2 linked regions of the Rhinolophus ferrumequinum genome follow. The protein of the gene in region 2 purifies or fractionates together with the protein of the main gene of each other region. This does not show direct contact. Links are inferred from orthologs where the notes say so. Each region holds a gene or a part of one and is shown on either strand. Other genes may lie near its edges.

Evidence for each region.
Region 1: the proteins of TULP3 (region 2) and WDR35 purify together in Homo sapiens (affinity purification with mass spectrometry; 5 studies listed by BioGRID and IntAct, counting the BioPlex papers as one, with this or other methods). This does not show direct contact. The link is inferred for Rhinolophus ferrumequinum from reciprocal best matches to the Homo sapiens genes TULP3 and WDR35.

The regions. Positions count from the first base shown.
Region 1 is NC_046296.1:58,844,986-58,851,866, reverse strand, and holds the start of WDR35 (WD repeat-containing protein 35), read right to left. Parts: upstream 3,005-6,881; coding exon 2,981-3,004; intron 2,271-2,980; coding exon 2,153-2,270; intron 1-2,152. Other genes in the region: MATN3 (matrilin-3), read right to left, coding at 6,078-6,133. UniProt on the Homo sapiens protein: As a component of the IFT complex A (IFT-A), a complex required for retrograde ciliary transport and entry into cilia of G protein-coupled receptors (GPCRs), it is involved in ciliogenesis and ciliary protein trafficking.
Region 2 is NC_046293.1:87,867,604-87,875,079, reverse strand, and holds the start of TULP3 (tubby-related protein 3), read left to right. Parts: upstream 1-4,475; 5' UTR 4,476-4,543; coding exon 4,544-4,584; intron 4,585-7,476. Other genes in the region: RHNO1 (RAD9, HUS1, RAD1-interacting nuclear orphan protein 1), read left to right, coding at 524-691, 1,458-2,021. UniProt on the Homo sapiens protein: Negative regulator of the Shh signaling transduction pathway: recruited to primary cilia via association with the IFT complex A (IFT-A) and is required for recruitment of G protein-coupled receptor GPR161 to cilia, a promoter of PKA-dependent basal repression machinery in Shh signaling.

The DNA.
Region 1 (6,881 bases), on a different chromosome or scaffold from region 2:
CACTGATCTTGTTAGAATTTTCCAGCCATATTTCTCATATTTATCTCTTTCAACGTGACTTACACTCATTATGAAGTTCCAAAACAAATAATTTACTCCATTTTCCACTCCTCTCAAGAATTTATTGTTCCATCTTGCTTGCTAATTTCAAAAAAATATTCTAACCCCACTTCATTAAAAGTGCGGAACAGGAAAAGAACTAATTTTTTTTTTGGAAAAGCCTTCATTTTTAAACATAATGAATGCATTTCTTAACATAACTAAAATTTGCTACATATTTTAAGGAAAATAAAAGCGTATATATAAATACATTAATACATACGTCCATATACGTATACTTTTGAGAAACATAAAAAAGAAAAATTATTTTCTTTTAAGATAGTTAACAAGAGAGATTAAATTATTAAACATCAGAAGCCAAACTCTAATTGGTACATAAGTATCTACCTTCCAAATCTGTCTTTTATTTCATATAATTAATCTAGCACATCAAGACAACTATTCTCTGTTTGCTTAGGCTGTTCATGAGCCCTCGTGCACTTGTTAAAAACAAGGGTTTGAAAGTGAGACAATTCGTTTCAACTCCCAGCTCTGTCTGGGATTTTACTGGCTGTGTGACCTTGGACAAGTTATTAACTGATCAGCACCTCAGTCTTCTCATCTGGAATACCTACCTCTCAAGATTATTGTGAAGTCAAACGAAACAGCGAAGGTTAAACATCCCGTGCATAGAAAGTGCTCAATAAATACTTATAAATACACGTTCAAAGCTGTAAAGCAGTGTTACTCAAACTGGGGACTGAGAACCAGCATTATCTGTATCACTAGAAATGCATCTTCTCAGATCCCACCTGGAGCTGAAGCCCAGAAATCCATTTTAGCAACATCAGCAGATGACTCTTATGCCTGATAAAGTTTGAGAAGCAATGTAATTTAGTTCAATCCCTCATTTTACAAACGAGTGAACTAAACCCCAAAGATAGTCAGCAACTTGCTGCAAGTCATTCAGTAGTCTTACGGCAGGGCTGAGAGTCCAACTCCAATCTCCTTATCTAGATCTCCAATTTGAATTGGGGATTGTCTAGATTTCCAATCCAGAACACTAGGGATGCTAAACACCTATGAAACTGTTTGCTATGATACCAGAGAACTAGAAAAAGAGAAATCAAGCTGTAAATACAAGAGACTTATAATAATAAAAATGGTTTTTTAATCCCATTTTCTATTCTTGGGAACGTGGCACATAATTAACATATCTGACAAACAGAAAGGAGAACACAGGCTGTAAAGAATCTGCCAAAATGTACGATTCCGTGACCTCACTGAAATGCTGACTCACCTCATTTTTATTAGATTCCTAATAATATAGCCCAATAAATAGACATAGCACAGACAACAGTGACAGTTTTCATTCTTCATTCTTTTTCATTTTCCATTAAGAACTTCAGCAAAAGCCATCTGACGTTTATTTTCAATATTCTCTGAACTTTACTGCAAAAACACTCTAGTAAAATACCACAAAGTGTTTGGGTTTGGGGGAGGGGACTGTTGTGCAGAGGACCCTGCTCGCTGCACCATGTGTCACGCGGGGTGGCCTGGAGGGTCTGCGGGGGATCCTGCCGACTATGCCATGTGTCATGCAGGGTGTCATGCGGGGTCTCTGCTCCCGCTCCCCACATAAGAACGCAGGACATGGTGAGGCCAAAAAGGAACACCTACGGAGCCATAGATAGGGGAGTCATATTACTATATTCTCGCCAACGGCTGGATTGGAAACACAGGAACCAGGAGCCACACTGTTCGCAACCCTCACTGCACCACTTGTAGGCTCAGCCACCATCTTCTTGCTAGCCCCTATTTTCTACTAGTGTAGCCACAGCAGTTATATTAGTGCCCAATGGCTCACTGGTTACAGCTGACGGCCAACTAGCCACAGCTAATGGCCATTTGATCACAGTCGATGGCCATTTACTACCTGAGCCAGCACCTTTCTATGTGATGCTGAGAGCCTGGAAACTGCTTTTTGGGGCTCTGTTCCCACAGGGGCCCTTTTAAAAAATTAAAATTGCATACTGACAATAACATGAGCAACTCTCAAACAAATGAGCCAATTTTCCGTCAAGTTCAGACATTTGGGCTTGCATTTACTTACCTGTCTGGGTCTCTAATTTCAAAACTTTCAGTAATCCATCTTCACCACCACATGCTATGAATCCTTGGTCCTTGTTCCAAGACACACATTTCAGGCTCACATTATTGGGAATGGCAATCTGAAAAGCAACCACAGCCACTCTCAGCAGTTCGCGAAGGAGTTGGGAAGTGAGAGTCTACAGGAGATGAAGACTGAAGAAAATGCCCCCAAAACGAAAAACGGTCAGCCTTACAGAAGTGTGACTTGTTATGAAAATGGAAACAGTCCCACTGAACTGCGCGGGGCCCCTACCATTCGGAAGAGAAAAAAGTGCACACAAGACAAGGGCAGTGACTACGGAGGAACCCAACGGGGGAGTCGCCTGATGGATTTTTAAAAGGGAGGAGGGGGACACGGAGATATAAATCCATACCATCAGTCCAAATTCCCTGTCCACACACGACACGTAGGCTACCCTTTTGTTAGTATTTTTCTCTCGCTCGGCGACCCGTGATGGTCCAAAGAATTTGAGTCACCTGGCTCACCAACAGGTTTTGGAAAGATAGGGAAGCACGCAGCGGTCTGCCCTGCTGGCGCCGCAAAAGGACCCGGCCAGGGGCAGGAATGGGACAGAAAGGGACAGAGTCGTGCGAGACGGCTGTTGGCTCCGCCAAGGACTATCTGGGACTCGGGCAAGGATGCAGGAGGTCCGATGCTGGACCAGGCAGGAAGGTTGGGGAGGGACTGCGAAACCGCTATCAGGACGCCTAGCTTCGCAGGCGGGATTTGGTCATCTCCCGCAAGATGCGGGAAAGAAGGAGGAGAGAGGGAGCCCCCTGGAAAACTCACTTTCTTGCTCAGGTAAAAGAACATCCTGGGAGCCCGGAGATGACGACCCCAGCCGTCGAGGCCCGCAAGTGGAAACTCGTTCTAAGTCGCCGATCGCCAGTACCAGCGGTCCTTTAAAGCTCCCGTCGCCCTGGCAACCGCCGCCGCCCAGTTGCATCCGGGGCGCCGTGAGACACTTCCGGTGTCGACCGCGCCTCGGCCAGCGGGCCTCGTGCGCCTGCGCGGACGTCGGGGGCTTGTGTCGCCGCGCGGATGGTGAAGCTGTCCCTGGTCTGTGTTTCAGGGGTTTTTCTACTCTTGCGTGGGGCTGGGTCGCTGACCTTTAGTGCCTCAGATGCCCTCAGTCTCCGCGGGCTAGGAGCACTCGCCACACCTTGGATGGTCGCGGTGAAACACGCACGAGGTGTCAGAATCAATTTAGGAGGAAAGGCGCTCATTGAAATGAGGTCGCAATGATTGGGTAGTTTGCAAATCCCCCAAGTCCCAACATTGTGGAACGGGAAAAGTCATTAACTGCACTGGGTAGGCTGACGCCTCCGGGCAAATGAAAATGCAAACCTGCGTTTTCAGAGCTGGCACACCTACCCTTACGCCTTTGGGTGTTGGAGAACCCTCTGGAGCAATTTGGGAGTAAGAGTTTGTGTTTATTCTGTTTGTTTTAGAAATTTTTAACAGCTTATTTAAGCTGTTACTGCAGCCCAAGGGTCCTTATAAAAAGATTATATGAGCTTTGGGCCATCACAGCATATAATTGCCATTGGGGCATAGCTTTCCATTTTTAAATAATTGAGGTGTTTGTTATTTTCTCGCCTGGAGTTAACTGTTCTATATTCTTTTCTACCTTATTTCTTTCTTCAATTCTCCTTTGTCCTCTTTGAATCCCTGGAGAGTTAAAAAGCGCCACAATTTCAGGTAGAGGGCACAAACTCCCGTGAAATTATATCTCACCATTTTTTATTGATCTCTGATTTTCCCTTTTACCATATTCTGTGACTACCACTGTTGATTTGTATAATCTAGTATGTACTTTATGCACTTACAGTGTAGTAGCTAATTCCCCCACCTGGTCTTTTCCCATCTCGAGCAAATAACGTTCAAATCTTTGACCTGAGTCTATTGCTTCTCCCAGAACACTCAAAAATTAACAATGGTCCTTTTCTATCAAATCTAAACCCCAGCTAAAATCAGATCTTCCTTCAATCTTAAAATGTCTTTACCATGGTACCCCCACTCTAAGAATGCCAGTGTGCTTTCTGCAACCCACCATTCCTCTCTGCTTCCAAGGCCATTTTATATATCCTATGATGTTCCTACCCTATTGGCCAGTTGTGCCTCGCCAAACATCGCACCAGTCATGTCTCCCTAAGAAATTCTTTCCAAACTTAATCCCCATCCCATTCAGATAATATATGTATTTGTTTTTAAATGTATGTGTATCTTTTTTCAGTACCAAACTAAATTCCTAAGGTATGTTGGCACCTACTCACAGGATCCTTACACTGGACTCTTGAAGCAAATGAGTATTATCTAAGACGGGATTCCAACCAACTGGTCAAATTTAAGACGTGATTAGTTGAAGCTAGTTACTAATGGTCACATTCTTAAAAAAATCACCTCTAAATACCTTACCCTAGTTCTTGCATGTGAGATCTCATTTATTCCTTCTATAACACCATTGTTCTGTGATATATTATTAATAATATATATTATTGGTTCTGTGCTCAAATAAATTTGGGAAATAATACTGTTCTGTGTCATGTCCTTTCAACATTGTTGAGAAATAACAATATATATTTCATATAATATATGCTGCCTTTGATGGATTTATTTTTCATTTCTTCCCCTTAAAGTTTATATTTTAGATTTTTGACTGTTTCTGGGTTTACATCTGTAGGTTACATTTGCTTTTCAGGCATGTACGTACTCTCATCGTTTTATCTAAATTTAGATAATTTTGTTTTATTCCCTCTCCCACAACTTTTTTGATTAAAGCCTTTCTAGTTAACCTGAACTTACATTTTTTAACTTTAAAAGCATGAGAAGAAATTATAGGAAGAGTCACAACATTGTGTTCTTTGACAAGAAACTGTTATATATTTAACCAATTGTTAATTCAGTTTAAGGAAATATGTTAAAAGACAAAATTGGTATAATAAGTCACCAGAAAAAAGCATGACAATAATATATGAAGATACTTTTTTATTATACTAAAGACAATACAAACAAAAAAAATTAAGTAGTACACAATTTAAAGGATTGATTTCTTCTAAAAGTTATAAGCTTTAAAGCTGAAAAAAATTGTAAGTATCAAATATGTAAGTGAAAAGTTAGGCTTATCACATTTAAAAAGATAACATTAGGTTTTCTTGTTACAGCAATATTTATAAATATATAATTTTATTGACTGGATCCTAAAGTAAATTTAGGATTTTTTGTCTTTGGTAAGAAGTTATGACACTCTTAATTCACAACTAAAGGCTTTAGTTGTGTATCCTTTCTAACATCAGAATGAATTAAAAACGGCATGTAATAGTCACTTGATCTGAATTAAGGAGTTTTAGATATATGTATTATCATCCTCTGATCACAGCTTCAATAATTAGCAAAAAATGAGCAAAAAACAAAAAGTATTAAACAGTTCTAAATCCTCTTCATCTCAATTTAATTAAAATAACTTTTTATGTGTAAATACTTTGTACAACTTTTACTGTCAGTAATAAGGCCGGTTTACACTATAAATACTATCAAGAGAAAATAGATCAAAAGTTCCCATTGTAAATATAACAGTTATCTTACTAATATAAACATTTAAAAATTAAATGGCTCAATTAGTAAAGAAAGAAAGAAATATTAAACTTCTCATTTATTTCCTACCAACCATTTCACAGTCATAGAGACACTAAAGTTTGCTTTTAATAAGGATCTGGACATTTATTTCCTTAGAAAAATGAGACTGATTCTCCAGAAGATCCTCAAACTACTTATCCAGTAATATTCAAGCGTTTGTAATGGCAAATTATTAACAGGAACATTGGAGTATGCAAAAGTATTAAATACACAAAGTTCTCCATATTTCCAGGTGAAAATTTTGAGCAATTTAACGATGTATTTGTCCATATTCATTTGCTTGCAACTTCGCCAAAATGTCATCAAGTGGCTAGTTGTTAAGGCTAACACCATTTATTTTTAGACATTAGAAAACATAAATACACTTTTAAACACTTTAATACAGGATAAAAGAGAATAATCACATCATATTGTAAATGAAGAAAAAGAATGAAATTGTTTTCCCATCAAAAGTCTAATGTATTCTAAAACTCAGAAATTCTATTCTTTAGAGAGCATGATATAAAGCAGTAGTCTTCAAACATTTTTGCTCATAGGTCCCCTAAAATAATTTTGACAAATAAGTGATGTTTTATGCATATTTAAATTACACGAAAATTTTCATAAGTTTAGTAACAAAATATGAATTTTCCGCTATGTTATAAATATTGACTCTCTAAAATAAAATTTAAATTTTAATGTATCCCATGTAATATTAATACCATACTGAATTGATACCTAGTATCATTCTTCTAAAATAAAATATTTACAATAAAGGAATTTGTATTTCCTTTGTTTCTCCACAGAAATTTATTCTACTTTTAATCTTGGAAATCTTTTCTTGATCATCTATTATACTTCTCTGAAGTAAACTTAAACAAAAAAAACCCCACACACATTTATATTGAAATTACCTTTAAATTTTCTTTGACCATCAAAGACCCTAATTTTTTTTAAGTCATCTGGATTGAGTTATCATTACAACTATTATGAGCACATAATGGATCCAAACAACAAATAAATTACAAATTTTGACATTAAAATAAAAAATAAAAGATAACATTTAATTTGAAAG
Region 2 (7,476 bases):
ATATTAAGTTTTGCTCCAAGAGACGCATTAGAGCTGATGGTCCGGCTAGGTCTTATTTTCGGGGAAGCTCGGTAGGCCTTCCCTGACAACCTTGTCCAAAATAGCACTCAGTCAGCCTAACCCCTTATCCCGCTTGATTTTTCTCAAGTCTTTGAAACAGGGACAGCCTGACCTCTGAGTCCCAGCAAGTGCTTGGCACTCAATAAATGATCCTGGAATAAATGGTTATTCATGTTTGAATTCCCAAAATCCAGCATGGCACTTAACATATGCTCGATAGATGTTCATTGAACAAATGTTGAATGTAAACTACTGTGTTTTAAGGTGGTAGTGTAGGTATAGGAAGCTGTGCTCCCCACAACCTTGAGGTGGGAGTGGTAAGTTGATAGTGGGACTGGTTGGACGAGTATGAGGAAGAGCTTTTGTTTCTTCTCTGCAGGCATGGGTTGGAGTGGAAGCTTCTCTCCGGACCTGACTACAGCCAGCACCATGTGGTTACTAACTGCTCTTCATTCACCTATTGATGCCTCCCAGAAAAAAACGCCGCCAAACGTCCCAGAAAGCCCAGCTGCTGTTCCACCAACAGCCACTAGAGGGCCCCAAACACCGCTATGCATCGCCACAGTATCCCATCACCCACACTGTGCGGGCACCCAGCAAGCCCATTGACCACAACACTATTACTTCCTGGGTAAGCAGTGGGATTCCTACTTTCACTTTTACTCTGTTAAGCTTCTCAGAATACTGACTTTTCTGCTCGCTGAACCAGGACCTCCAAAGAATAAGATTCATGGGAGCAGGGACAAGGAGGCAGTATACTCTTTCTGTCTGTTGTCAGCCATCTCTTCTGCTATATCTTCTTTTCTAAATTCCAACTGAGGCATAGGTTAGTTGGAATTGGAGTCTTCCCCCCACATTCCTCTGAAGGAGTTCAGTATAAAAGTTTCATTACCCAGTACCTGGGTGAGAAAGCCGGATAAATGGCAGAACTAGTGAAAAATGAGATTGTTTTCTGAGCTTCATGAGAGGTATAGAGTATTTAGGTACTCTATTTACTCGTTAATAGATTGAACCTCAAATAAACCCCACAGAAATGGCATGGGTCATATTTTGACAGTTTAAAAGCCCTGGGAAGAGACTATAGCTACCAAAGTCAAGGAAGTAGTACAGCAAAAGCATAAACTCTGCTTAGGAGTGCTTAATAAATATAACTTGTTCAGGATTGCTTAGACAAGGCATAATACTTGCTCCACGATAGTAGAAACTTAAATGTTAGATTGCCCAAATCTTACATGCCTTTCTATTACTGTTCCATTCATTAGACAGGTATTTTTGTTTTGTGTCCATTACTATAGTGGGTCCCATTTAGGATTCTGGTTGCTGGTCATTAGATGTAGTTGCCTACCTAGGTTTATACTTGGTACTTAGCTATCCTTGCCTTTTTTTTTGATCCTTAGGTATCACCTCAGTTTGATGGAACAGCAGAAAGCTGGTTCCCAGCCAACCGGAAACGGAAACGTCATCACCGAGACCAGGCAAAACATTCAAGTCGAAAATCTACCACCTCCAAGTTTCCACAGCTACCATTTGAGAGTCCACAGTCTTCTACCAGTTCAGCCACACTTGGGATCCCCTTAACCAGGGAGTGCCTCAGTCAATCAGAAAAGGACATTTCCGGAAGGCGCTTAGTTCCAATGCTCAGTCCCCAGAGCTGTGGGGAACTGTCAGCACATGCACTTCAAAACTTACCTTATGTGTTCATTGCACCTGATATCCAGACCCCAGAGTCATCTTCTGGAAAGGAGGGGCCCATTCCCCCAGATCAGAGGGAAAATAGCCTGTCAAACTACTCCCTTCACACTAATACTCCCGAGAGCCCGGATCCTGGGCCTGTTCTGGTTAAAGACACTCCTGAGGAGAAGTATGGGGTAAAGGTCACATGGAGGAGACGACGAAACCTCTTTACTTACCTCCAGGAGAGAGGGAAGCTGAGCAATAGCCAGTTCCTTGTGAAAAACTGACTAGATTTCTCAGACAATAATCTCAAGAAATTGATTGCTGGTTTTCACTGAGTTGCTAAAGTCACTTTTCCAGCTCACAGAAGGGCACATCAGTAGAATAAAATGGAAATAATACCAATAACACCAATAGAAGAAAGGTATTTTAACTAGAGCCCTGGAGTCATAAGGGAATTCGGTTCCCAGATTTGCTTGTTTAAGTATGTTGTTATAAACAATTTTTAGTGTATAGACAGTTCACTTTATATTTTTCTTGTATTAACAGTTTAAAATTTTTAAATATCTTGTAGTAACTGTTTAAAATGTGTTTGTAAATAAATGGCCACAGAAAATTTTTCGAGAACCCTGATTCCCACTGCCAGTATGTGCCAATACTGCCCCCTCCATAATAGGTCTTCCTTGTTTGCTTTTACCACTACTCATTTATCCTTTAATCACCTCATTCAAACTAATAATTCATTACACATTTTTGAGTACCAACTCTGTCAGGCTCAGTGGCAGCTTCGTCTATGACTTGATGGATGAAAAAACTCAAAGCAAGCTCTGACTTTTTATAGTTGAGCTGCCACCTGTGCAACCTTGGCTCATGTGCTGAAGAAAGAGCAGCAAGCCGTGTTTGGCAACAGTAGGATCAGGGGTGGTAAAGGGGACATGTGTAAGTTACTTAGGTTTGCTGTGTTTCGATTTTTTATTTCCAGCCAAAGCTGTAAAGAAATAAGGTGGGAAAATGATTTCTTGGGGTAACTGTTTAAAATGTATATAAATAAATGTGGAAACTTTTCAGAGAATACTAATTGTAATTAACCTTTTCACTGCGTTGATTGATTTCAAGTTCTCCAAAATGTGTCAAAAATCCACAGAAAATAATTACAGTATTTATATTTTTAAGTAAATACAGCTAAGGTGCGACACTTTATTAAAAGAAATGATTAAAGTATAAAAATGTCCTATTGTTATTCATTTTTGAACAACACAAAAATATAGAAAAATGTGCATCTGCTTTCCTAAACTTCCTTTCTGGAGCCCTGAGCTCGTGGGGTAAAGTCAAATGCCCCAGTTAGTGGCATGGAAATGTCATTGGACTATAGACGAAAGTCGCAGTGAAAATGTTAGTGCAGTACTGCCCGGTCAACAAAATCCTTTGACCAATACAAATAGCATCTCACGCAACTCCATTCACTCAGCTTTAAGAAGCTACTCTGTGTCAGGTCCAGTCTCAGGTAGACGAGGATTATTCTGTTTGTTATAGATGGGAATTGGAAGCACAGATAATGAACCATGTTCAGTGTCACATAGCCAGTGGAGGCTGACCCAGCAAGTGCAACGCTCTGCTTTTCTAACTTGTGCCAACCTCTAGGCCTCTTAGAAATTCAAAAGCAATGTGGAAACAGCTTTGACTTTGGAATGCTATAAACGAAACTCAATCTGTGATAACTTCTGTCAGGATGTTTTGTAGGGACTATAATGCTGTATGTAAGTTGTTGGAGAGAAAGGAAGTGATGGTTGAGGACAAGATTTATTGGAAACGAGAGTACAGATGTAGATAGTGGATTTCCTTAAGGTGTTTGGATGTCTGAAGGTGGTCCATAGGTAAATTCTGTGTTTCCCTGAAAATGAGACCGGGTCTTATATTAATTTTTGCTCCATTAGGGCTTATTTTCAGGGGATGTCTTGTTTTTTCATGTACAACAATCTACATTTATTCAAATACAGTCATGTCATCTTCTGGAACATCTTCATAACGTACTAAATGTATCCATCTGGCTGAGATCTTAACTGGGGCTTATGTTCTGGGTAGGTCTTATATTCAGTTAACACGGTAGTAAAGACTCTTAGGAGAGTGTAGAGCAGGTCTAGGAATGCCTTAAAAGCTTGGGCTGGAATCGGGGAGGCTGAGGGAGTTCTGTGCTGTTGGAGGGCCAGAGCAGGTAACTCTAAGATGCATTCCAGTGGGAATGACTGCTGGCGAGGCTACAAGTGTGGTTCCTGGTTAGGCTCTGGTGTGTCCGGAAGGGATCCGACTGTGAGGGAGCTGGCAGAAGTCTGTAAACCCTAACATTACAGACCTCGGGAAGCGCTCTGGGATGGTTTCTGTGTGCAAACCGCGGGGGTGCGGGGAGGCCGTTCCATGTGTGGCGGTTAGTGGGGGTTGGGCGGCTCCTCCGACACACTGGCTTCCTGGCGGCGGGAGCCAACGCCGCTGACGGAAACACATTCTTCCATCTCGGCCCCTTCTCCTCTCGGCGAGCTCTACAGGGATCCAGAACTAGCGCGTCATCCCCGCGCGGGCGCAGGCGCCGGCGCTGGCGCCTTTAACTCGGGGTTCCTCTGTTCCTTAGATACCCTCCCGCAACGCGGCAAGAGCCAATAAGAGAGGAGCGGCGGGCCCGTGGGCCAATAGGCGGTGGCGACAGTGCGTGGTGCGGTTGTCAGGGGGCGGGGCCGGTTGCTGGCCAGGCTTGCCACCCTAGCAGCGGAGTAGGTGGCGGGTTCTGGACGTGCTGGCCACTTTCTGAGCTGCGGTGATGGAGGCGTCGCGCTGCCGACTCGGACCCTGCGGGGACAGGTCAGAAAGGGGTGGTGGCTGGTCTCATCTTGAGTGGGGCGGAGGGCCGAAGGGAGACAGTGGCGGTCCTCTTTGGAAGCTCTGAAGGACAGGGCGGTGGGCTCAAGTGCGGGAGGGAGGGACTGATTTGCAGCCTCCTCTCCCCTCCGCGGCGGAGGACCCCTCCCTTTTCCCGGGAGAGCGGTGGGGAGCGGCGGCTGCACCGGGAGCAGGGACTTGGTGTTCAGTCCCTGCTTGGGAAACTCCGGGGAGTTTTCGTTGTGAGCTCGCCTTGCCCTCTGCGGGCCTCGCTTTCACAAAACGCGTTAGCCCTGTGCCTCACGCACCGCCCAGGAGTGTCATACATGAGATTGGATGAAGTCTGTCCCGGGGTCATCGAAGCGAAATTTAATAATTTGCTCTAAAGCCATCGCTTTCGGCCGGCAGAGCTGAATTCTGGAACAGAATCCGAGGGCTGAAAACGCAAAACTATTCTTTTGCTTCGATGTCCTTTATAGTAATTATCTCTTAGTCAGGATTGGCTGTCTTGCTTGCAACGTACCAAAGCTCCCCTTTCTCTGCCATGTCCCTTTTTTGTACCTCGGCCAGAAGTCAAACGACCCGAAATCTCAATTTCTTTTTTGCCAGCTTAATGAAAAGTTAATGGGGAGCGGCGCGAAATCACTGCTTTAAAACTTTGGCATTGTCTGAAGATTTAAATCTTCCACCTCAACTCTACTCTCCTCTTTTTAGACCGTTACCACGGCAAATAAAGATTTAGCATGTAAGGATTTAGTCTGATATTTAGAATAATAGGTATTTAAACAATTCTAAACCATTTAAAACCGTCGCGAAGGAGGCATTGGGGTAAAGAACACTCATTTTCTTCTTTCATCAGGTTTTATTTACGTAATAACTGCTGTGTGGAATTTGTTCACTGCACTTTTTTTCAAGTCGACAGAAAAATAACCTACATTTTGCAAGTATAAATATGGAGGTGCTCGGAGGATGTCAAGTTAAAATTGAGCGTTTTCGTTGAATTCAGATGGTATTTCTTCAGTTGTGGGCACTCAGTAAATCTTAACTGACTGAATTTAAGGCAGTGAATTTCATGGGTACGAGATGTTTGATATGACTTATGATTTTGGTGTGTGTTGGGGAACATGGAATTGACTTTGAAATTGAGAATTGTTAATTTATTGGACCTGAAGTTTCAAGGGATAATTTTAAAGTTTTCCCCCTGTCTTCTTCCCAAAGAAACCAGCTCTTTAATTTAGAAATTGACATCAAAGGGGAATGTGTGAGTCACCAAATGTTTCTCCTGCCCTAGGTAATATTAGTGCAGCCTCTATTACTGTTTAACTCATTTGTTGTTGAGAGAGAGAGTGGAATGTCTCTTGCTTTTTTTGGCTCCTGGTTGTGTGTTTAATGTTTTTCATGAAATACATTGAAAGAGTTTTTGGCATTAATACCTTTCGATGTGAAGTATAGCATCCAACTTTTAAGTTTCCTGTGACTTTTTTCCTTCTTTGAATTATGTGACTGTTTTACCATGAGGCAGATTTATTTTCAACAAAGTAGAAAAATTATTAACAAATAAACTTCAAATATTTTTCCTATATCTGAAACATTTAGTGAGAATTGGAGCTGGAATTTGAAATAACACCCAGGACCTTTGTTGAGCCTACTAGGCATTTGACATTATAGATTCCCTGGAGATGACAGTGGTTGGCTGGTGCTGGAATGTGAGCTCGCTCTGGCCTCTTGTTCCTGATGAAGAATTGAACTTGTGGTAAGAGAGACTTTGCAGTATGATGTGACCTTGTGACCCAGAGGTGACTAAGAAAGTCCTCATCTGTCGTTTATCCATATGCCACGATTTCTCTTTAGAACTATGAACAGTAGTGGTAGCTGGAGCTTCTGTCTTGGCCAGGCTTGTTATCCTTTTCATGTTCTCCTTTTTAAAAATGTTTCATCAGATCAACAAATTGTTGGCAAACAGACTTAGCCAGTGCTTAAAAATTCTTAGATTAACTAATACGTGACTACAGTATGTTTGGCAAATGTCAGAAAGTACAGTAAAGGCCTGATAACATCTAACATGCATGTGTTTCACCAATTGTGAAGGCTACATACAGACCTAGAAAGGATAGAAAGTAATTCATTTCCTTTCTTCCAAGATCTTCCTGTCCAAGCAGACTGACTCAGACATTTTTTGGAATAGTTCCATTTCTGGCTTCTCGTCTTCCTTTCTGTGGAAACTCTTGTTTCCTCTGGATCTGTCCCCATTAAAAGAAAAGGTTAACGTTTCTTCTTACCAAGAGGAAAAGTATGCTTGAATTACTCAGAGAAGTAGTTAAAGCTGCCTTGCTTCTCTGTATTTGAGGACTTTAGGACTCAAAGGGCCTTGATAATTTCCTGAGTTCTATTTGAGAGTAGTTCCGCAGTGGAATTGTTAAGGCTTCTTTCAAACAAGAATTTTCTGTCATCGCCTTTCGCTCTATTTCCTCTAAGTCAATGCACTAGGAATAAACTCTTTGTACTGCTGAATCTATTCGGCCTCATCAGACGTCCTTAGTTCTTAATAATGAAACCTGCAACATTCTCCTGGCCTGGTTAAAGCTTAAATCCACTGATGCCTGAGAGAAGACACATTATCCATATGCTGATTGATATGCTGTCTTTATCCGCTCAATACTTGGTGTGAGTCTTGATAATGGGGTTGTCATCTCTGCCCCTTTCTTTGCCTTAGAACTTCTGTGAAAACATTAATGACGAGCACTGTATCATGAGTCACAGGACCTCTGGAGGATCACAGTTCTGAAAAGAATTATAGTAGTCCTTTTATGGTTCATAAGAAGATGGCACTTGCTGTTTTACCACATGGCACTGTAATGAGGGTGAGACACTGGA